Linked DNA regions of Danio rerio. The protein of the gene in region 1 interacts with the protein of each later gene in a pairwise test. Links are inferred from orthologs where the notes say so. Each region holds a gene or a part of one and is shown in the gene's direction. Other genes may lie near its edges.

Region 1 (4,376 bases):
GATGTCAGCGTATAAGCCTGCAAAGCAGTTTCACTCACTCGCTCGCGGGTCACGTATTATCTCCAGCATTCGGCTTCAACTCCGATCGGTTCCCTATTGAATTGTGCCTTTTCCCCGCAGACTGTCACTTGTTCACGCAGCCTCTGCTTTCTCTGGAGTAGTCGCTATAGTCTAGTTGTACTTCTACTAGTTCGCAGGGGTGTCTCTCTCTTCCTCCCACCTCATGCATTGAACTAGCTTGTCATCGCGTTCGGTTATACGCTTCATGTCTCTTTAATTTCGAATGCATCAGCGCTGTTTACAGCATCTTTATATTTCTAAATCCACGCGGCGGTTTACTGACACCCCCTCCTCCCCCCAGTCGCCATTCTCTATAATCTGAACACATCTGAAAGTTATTACCCCGTCCCCTTTCTTTCTAGTGGGCTGCTCCCACAATCTATTCGTCAGTGTGTTGTTATATTTTTACAATTACACTCTTGTAGTATTTAAGTCCCACCTACATCGCGCGCAGAGCGCACGAGCAAGTATCCCATCCCGCTTTATGTGATGTGCCTTAAGTTTCTCTGAGCTGGAGGAATGTGGCAGCGCACGCGGCGGTTGAACCCTGCACATGCCCCGGCTCGGAACCTGTCTGTCCTGTTCATGCAACCCGATCGTGTCTCGCTGAAAAGCAGCTACCTTGCGCGCTACCTTTGACTGTTTGACCAGGAGTTGAGTCAGTGTGTTTGAAACACCATCAGTGTCCACTACGAAACCTTAAATGCGAGGCTCCTCTCTCACTGTCTTTGTATATATAGCACGTCCGGCCCCCTTGAATCTCCTGTCCATTGGCTTTTCGTGCTCTGTTTTCCTGCGTCCACCCCCAGAGCGCGAGCGCGCGCGGACGCACACACACACACACACACACTCCGCAGCGCACATTGCTTTCATTAAACATATCTCCCCCTCTCTCTCTCCTTGTGTGTGTGCTTGTCTCTCGCTCCCTCTTTCTCGCCTCTTGTCCGGCCCCCTGATCTTTCTGTCCATTGGCTTCTTCGGGTCTATTTTTCATGTCCAGCCCCTAATGAGTGTCCATTGGTTTTGTTATTTCCACTCCCTCCTCCTACTCCACGGCTTTGCCCTGCCCATGTTCTGTATGTCTGTGTCCATCCATCTCCTGACGTTCAAGTTCGCAGGGACGTCACGTCCGCACTTGAACTTGCAGCTCAGGGGGGCTTTTGCCATTTTTTCATCTCTCTCTCTCTCTTTTCAAAAAAGCCATGACGGCTATCCCACAATCCATCTTCCCTGCGCCATCTTTGTATTATTTCTAATTTATTTTGGATGTCAAAGGCATTGATGAAGATATTTTCTCTGGAGTCTCCTTTCTAACCCGGCTCTCCCGATGTGAACCGAGCTGAAAGCCACCACCAACCACCATGTCTCGCCGCAAGCAAGGCAAACCCCAGCACTTAAGCAAACGGGATTTTTCGCGTAAGTAAAGACAAATATATGTTGTGCCCGTTGCCTTTACCTGTTTTTTGGCTGCGTTGTGTAGCGTTGAGTTGCTGGAGAGGAGCGTAATTCTCAGGGAAGACACACTGGACATTGGACAGCGCAGCGCCGATCAAGTGGACTTTAGCGAAGAGAGCGTTCCCATCTCTTGAATGCCTTTACGCGCACCGAATCGCCAAAAAGTTTGTCTTCCATCGCTGTACTTGGAGAAGTTCGTGTCGACTCTGTGTTTAGGCGCATATGTCTTGGCTCTCGTGCCCCAGTCGCTTTGACCACTTAAGAGCAAACGCTCACATATACCGGACCGTGGTGGGTATATGCACGCGTGCTTTCGCTTGCTTATTTACTCTCACATCTCGTGGAGTGTCCCGCAACGCTGTCTGTCTGTGATTCTGGGCAGGATTTCCCCCCTCTCGCACTATTTTTGGAAGATTTTCAAAGAGTGGAAGCGAATTTTGATTGGGAAAAATCTCGTGTCCGACTGTTTACAAGCGCCGCGTGCGCTTACTACCCACTGCCAGCAAATAGAGCACGATAGTCTTCTGCCTGAGACTAACAGCGCAGAGTAAGACATCTGCATATAGCCTAATATCGTTTCGAGTTTTACACATTAACGCTTTTCTAACGTTTGAAGCAAAACGCGGTTGTGCAGTATTTGTGGGCTTTCGCTGAAAAGCAGTAGAAGAGTATTTTACGTTACGCTCTTTGCCGTTTCGAGTACATTTGCAAGGAGAGAAATACGATTTCTATTTAGGCCTGATTTTCGTCTTAAATGTCGTTGACAAAGGTAAGACGAAACCTAAATATAATGCAACTATTTGGATACAAATGTATCGAGAAAACCAGGCTTTTTATGCATATATTCGTAACACACTAACCTACTGTTCTTCCAGAGATCATGTTAGTTGACACACTAAACGTGCTTTGAAGGACTGTGATAAGTTGCATTTTTCTAAATAAAGTATGCTTCAGATTATATGAACCTGAAATGTTGTCAGGAGCTCGACGACACAACCATTTAGCTTCTATCTTTTTGATGTTTTAGTTTTGATGTCTGAAACGTAAATCTTCAAAAGCATTAGTCCGCGTTTTAATAGATAAACGTGTTTGACACAAATCCTGAGTTGTTGTAACATTGTAAAGTATCGTGTAACATTATTGGGTTTCCACACACAGGCTGTGGATCTCAGCGCGGGTTACTCTGCGCTTTCGCTGCTGCACGTGTCCGAAATCCACCGCTAGGGGGCACACGACGATCATAAACTAGACTCGAACCCGATCAGTTTCAGCACTATCTATATTTGACCATATGTTTGCAAGAGCGAAACGTATTGTATATGAACTTGTAACAGTTTTTTTTTTACCCCGTCCTGAACTGGCATGAATTATAGGATTTTTAAAAAAATGTCTTGTATATTTTGTAATGGATCTAGAAAACTAACATGACTTTCAGGTAATGCAAACAGAGCCAGTATCGATCTTGATAAACTTTGCCATCCAATTTATAATTACACAGAAGACGGTTATTTTTAAAGCAAAGAAACAACAAGCGAGCCTACAAACTTTTTTAATGAATTTATTCAAAACCCCTTTGAATTTCATACACAGAGAAGCTAATACTAAATCTTTTTTTTGTAATAAGATGCTTTTGAATTTTAGACAAATTAATTGTTTTTAAGTCTTTAAATATTTTTTAGTTTAAGAACTGATTTAATTTGAAATGCATATGCAGGTAATGTAATTTAAAACTATTGTGAAAACTCAGTTTAATACAGTTTTCCACACTTTCCACAAATTTTGAGTTGGCTTAATTTGTTTTAAAATGGTTGAATATTCCTTCAAAACACATTCATGGAATCCTAGTTTATTTATGCAAGGTCAATCGTAGTCTGTGAAGTATATATAATAATATTTAAAAATATGCATATGCACGGAAATCTTTAAATGCCATTACCGATTGTAGAATAACGCATAACTTTAAATGTTGTATTAAGCTATTGTATTAATGTTACATTTTATTGAAGCTGAAATATCTATTAAGCAACTATATGTACTCGCTGGGTGTTATTAAATTATGACTCAAGTTTTTGCAAATATGTCGATTATCTCTGTTTTTATCACAAAATCACACATTACTGGACGTTCTACATCTGGTATCATTACGAATTTAATACGAATCAATATCAATCTGTGTATCTTGGAACCAGATACAAAAACGTTTAACTTCACTTTAAATTGCTCCTATTAGAAATGCAAGCAATTACGCACAATAATACAATGTAAAAACGGAAAACATTCGCTCATATTTAAGGGTAATTGATCACGTTTCGTCTTTGTTATTTCATGTGCAAACGTGTCGAATATTTTACTCATAACCACGTCTGGGAGATACTTCACATCTGCCCCTCAGTATCTGCCCCAGACTGGGCTGAGGTAAATTTAACCGCCCTGCTCGTGATCCCAACACCTTTTTTATTATTATCAAAATCTGTACCAATCATCACCCACTAAAATTAAAATCTATTTTTTGATTCTCAGTGGTTTTAGGTTCATTAAAGCATGAAATTGGCAGCTTATAAAGAAGGTCAAGATTCTTAACCATTAGCAAGCTAGTGTAACCTCCGCGCGAAAGATTTCGCTAAACAGCCGTTATAAATACCTGTGTGTGTGTGTGTGTGTCTGTGTGTGGACTGTATAGCTAACTTTATTGAGAATGGAAAAAGGTATCAGTACTTTTACTCCAAGTGTGAAGCATGTATTGATGCTGCTGTGACTGTTTTGGTTTTGCTGGATATCTACACGTGTTGTACATGCAGTCATAATCCAGATGTGTGTGTGTGTGTGTGTGTGTGGTTGAGTGAAACAGTCAGTCTGAGATG
Region 2 (4,346 bases), on another chromosome or scaffold:
ACCTGTCAAAAATCCTAATTTCTTTTCAGTGCACTGAGAACACCGTTTAAAGGAGGACATGACAATCACTAATTGCGATTAGATACGCCCCCGTTCGCCACGTTTAGACCGAGATTTAGGGCTCCCATATGGCCCCGAGCTACCGTGGGAATGTTCATAATTAAACCTAAAATATGGGTGTCTGCTGGCGGCGGCCACAACATGGCACGCTGTTAAGGTCAAGATGTCATTGCGCACGCTCGCAAACGGGTACAGTTGTGATTCTCTACACGAGGGAAACTCGCACGCATGTGTCCCCTCGGAAACAGAGCGCGCGCATACTTCATTTAATACCGATGTTTTCTAAGTCTGAGGCGTTATTTATACATACTTGTTCTGTATAAATAAGTCAGTTAAAATGCATCCGATTAACATCATTAATAATCCTATTAATTTCCCTCTCAATATTATTCTCCGCGCAAGACTCATGAGCAGAGACGTTGACTGTTTGTTTAGAGGATTGTTCACTTCACGAGTAATGATGTAAAATACTTGGCAACTTATAACTTACTTAGAATATACAAAGTAAGGTTTGTAATACCCAACACTTAACAAATAGGCTATAAAAAAATAAATAAAAATACACAAACAGATGTGTGTACATTTGGGTTAGGCTGTTATTGGGGCAGAAAAAAAAGACGCAATTTAGGACATTATGTTAAAATGCTCATTTATAGCTATAATGTTTTCCATTTAGCATAACAGCAACATCACCACATGTTGATTCAGAATAAAAAATACACTCTTAAAAAATCCTCTAATTTTGACGCCGTGCGCATAAAAGCAGGCAAGCTGAGAGCGCTGTGGAACAGTGTGATATCTGGGCTCGAGAGAGGACGGAGCAACAGGTGCACGCGCGCGATGGAAGGATCCGGGAAAGCGCGAGAGAAAGTAAGTGCGCAGCAAGACAGAACAAAATAAAAAGTGATCATCTTTCTAACCGAATGCCTAAACAATTTACTCCAGCCTGTGTCGGTAGTTAGGTCAGTGAACTCTCTGAGAATAGAAATGTGTTCCTAATCAGTGGCAAACGATTGATTCGGTCATTTAAACAGCCTTGCTGATCCTAATCAATTCCTATAGAGCGAGCGCACTATTAGCCTCTGACAGTGCCTGACTCACTGTGTATGCAATATCACTTCATTCGTCCTCGTGACGTCACGCGCGAGCAGGAGTTGAAGCAGAAGGCAGGGAAAAGCTAAGTGGTCAAAGGAAGTTGGGCTCTCCTCCCACCCTCCCTTCTCTCCCGCCCTCCTACTCTAATACATCTCATACATATTACCAAACCTTTAATCTGACGGTACACATCACAAAGTCACTCACCAAGGCTTGGGCTGCGACGCATTTCCCAGCTCACGTTGTACATTTGAAGCAGGTGTTGAGCGGTACAGTTGTTGGCTTGGTTTCACAGTTAGTTGCACCAACTTTTACGTGGGGCAGAGAGATCAGAGACCAGCTTTGGCATATCATCTGTGAAGCTGCATCCATCATCCATCAACAGTGAGACGTAATTCGGATTTTATTTGCTGAAAAACAAGAGGAACATTTTGGACACATTCAGAAACTGCAAGAGAAATCAAAGGACCAGTTGTGCACCGCAAATCGGATGTTAAATGTATGTTTCTTTTTTCAATCTAAGTCAAAAGTGCTAAGACTGCCCTGGGCCTGAAAAGTTGAACTTTTGAAACGCAATTTCTCGGAGCCGTGGTCTTCAATATGAGCAAGCCTGCTGGTTCAACAAGTGGTTGTCTGGATATTTTAAATGTCAAATCCAGTAAGTAAACTGCATTTGCTTTCAGGACTATTGTGAAGTTAGAAATGGCGTGATGTCGAGTCAAAATGCTATTTCGTTTTGTTTACGAAATAATTAAAAGTGAAATAATTGCGTATGATCAATGTGACAAAAATAATATCAACTTCAAAGAGTTGTCAAATGCATATCGAAATGTTTACGTGCTGTCACTGTTGTCTGCCTCTATACGAAAGATCTATATTTACAATCAAGATTATCTCAATTAAGGCTAAACATTGTGTATATCAATATTGAATACACGTAAAGTCTAAGAAAATCAATAAACGAATAAGGTTGGAAAGGCTTAAATAAGTTTGAGTTTAGTGTTATGCTGCTTAGAATGTTTTGACAGCTTACGTTGTTTCACTATTACATTTTGCAAATAAGTACTGAGGTATTTTCGAAACTCTAAAAATGTAGGTAACTACTAAATGTATTCCAACAGTCTTTATTTCATAATTATGCGCAAACTATGCATAGTGTGTCAAAGCAGATATTTTCCTTATTGAGTGTCTCCTAGTATCTCTTTTGACTCGTGTTATTTAAAAAAAATGCAAGTGGCCTATAATTAATCTAAAATAAATGTTTTCTTGACATTTTATTTTTAGGATTGCAATTCTAAAAACAATCTGACAATAAACATTTCTTGAAGAAAAAAAAAACTAAATATTTATTCTAATTCGAGAAAGTCTGCATGCTTGTGATAATAAAATTTTATACCTCTTTGACCTTTAAGACTATAGAAAAAAAATAATTAAAAGTTTGTATGTATGAGAGATTTGACTTTTAAATAATGCAAGAGAATTGTTTAAGTGGAGTTCAATAAAATAAGGGAACCCATATACAATTGTTTCTATTGCACAATAGTATTAGCAATGATTTGTAAGTAACTGATGATATGATTATATCGAAAACAATTATTAAATCTAGCTCGGCAAATTAGTAATTTTGTTGAGGCCTAAACTTTTCTTTCCTTATTCAGAATGCTTTTAGCCTTAAACTGTTTCAAATAAGTTTTAGATGCCTCTCACTTTTTAAATGATTCTCTTTAGCAATTATTTTTTACATTATAGGGGTAACATTACGGCACTTATACTGTTTGGGTGGTCGAAGGCCCATTAAATTTAGGGTTTCTCACAACTGCACCTAATCTAGTGCAGCACGTCCCAGGGTTGATGCTGATTACAGTAATGAAATATGCCATATGTCCTTAAACAATTACAACGAACAATGCATCAGACCGGGACCCCCACAGGGGAAAGTTAAAGACCTTCCCTAAAACAAATCCGCCTTCAATTCATTATGAGTTTCTTACCAATCCTTACCATTGTGTGCTGTCGAATTATGCGATGATTGCATCTGTTCTGGATGGAAAACAGTAGGCCTTCATCGAAATAAGAGCTATCTGGTTTGATGGGTTTAATTATAATTTATACACATAAAATACTGAAATTCACAGACCAGGATAAAAATGTTTCAAAACTAAAATTGTAAATGAACTTTTAATTATGCATTTTTCTAAAAAAGCGTTGACAAAAGCGTGTACTAATGTAGCTATTTTCGAGTTTCAAAGCGACAAATGCAACAAGTTTTCTGCAGTTTTTTTTTATTCAAGCGCCCACCGTTGGTAAAGAAATATTTCATAAACCTGCATTTATATCAAGACTTTGACTCGAACTTCGCACTTTCTAAAATGTTAAAATAGGAAGGTAGACACACAAAGTCACTTTCACGTCACAATTCACAAAAAAAGTCATTATCATTTCTGTAGAACATCTGGCACGCACAGAAAATAAATGTGTTTAACGCATTAAAATGCAGCTTTTTTCTTTCTTTTGGTGTAAAAAGTCAGAGAGCATGAAGTCGTTTTCCTTCTCCGTCTTTACCGGTCTATATCCGAATTCCCATGCTACACTTTTTGACGGGTCACTGGAAAATCAATGAGCAGGTGGACATATGTCAGTGTAATTACATAGCCGTTTCTCTAAACGACTCCCCCATATACATGCAAATATGCCTCTATTGACAGACTTAAATACAGAAAAAAAAGTGTTCTGCACACACAAGAAAAATCACAATTTTCATTTACTCCAAGTTCATTTGCATACACTTCATCTGAGTCGCTGAAACGCGCTGGTGCGTATTATTCTCCTCTCCCGTGTCACTCCCTAATCCGCGAGCCTATAGACGGCACGAAGAAAGCAGTTGTCGAGCTTCATTATGAAGCGGGGTTGGCAGCTTGTCGAGACCAGGCCAGTCAGACGAGGCTCAATGGGGAAATCATTAAGTTAACACTCTCCCTAATGTCGCCATTGTGCGAGTCTACTGAACATTGTTTTATGGGACCTGCGATATGACGCTTCCCACCGATGCGCCCTCATTTTAGGCCTACTGTTTATGCATTCCTATAGCCTGACGCATCAAAAGTGCGTCATTTAACACAACATTTTAGCTCAACAGTTTGTTTAGCTGTAGGACAAAGATTTGGGAAGTGCAGAACTGTACTGGAACTTTT

What was found.
Region 2: the proteins of bcl11aa (region 1) and nr2e1 interact in a two-hybrid assay, tested with the Homo sapiens proteins (2 studies listed by BioGRID). The link is inferred for Danio rerio from reciprocal best matches to the Homo sapiens genes BCL11A and NR2E1.

The regions. Positions count from the first base shown.
Region 1 is NC_133188.1:29,070,193-29,074,568, forward strand, and holds the start of bcl11aa (BCL11 transcription factor A a), read left to right. Parts: upstream 1-1,316; 5' UTR 1,317-1,421; coding exon 1,422-1,476; intron 1,477-1,866; exon of another isoform or gene 1,867-2,284; intron 2,285-4,376. UniProt on the Homo sapiens protein: Transcription factor. Associated with the BAF SWI/SNF chromatin remodeling complex. Binds to the 5'-TGACCA-3' sequence motif in regulatory regions of target genes, including a distal promoter of the HBG1 hemoglobin subunit gamma-1 gene.
Region 2 is NC_133195.1:35,306,968-35,311,313, reverse strand, and holds the start of nr2e1 (nuclear receptor subfamily 2 group E member 1), read left to right. Parts: upstream 1-1,338; 5' UTR 1,339-1,755; coding exon 1,756-1,813; intron 1,814-4,346. UniProt on the Homo sapiens protein: Orphan receptor that binds DNA as a monomer to hormone response elements (HRE) containing an extended core motif half-site sequence 5'-AAGGTCA-3' in which the 5' flanking nucleotides participate in determining receptor specificity.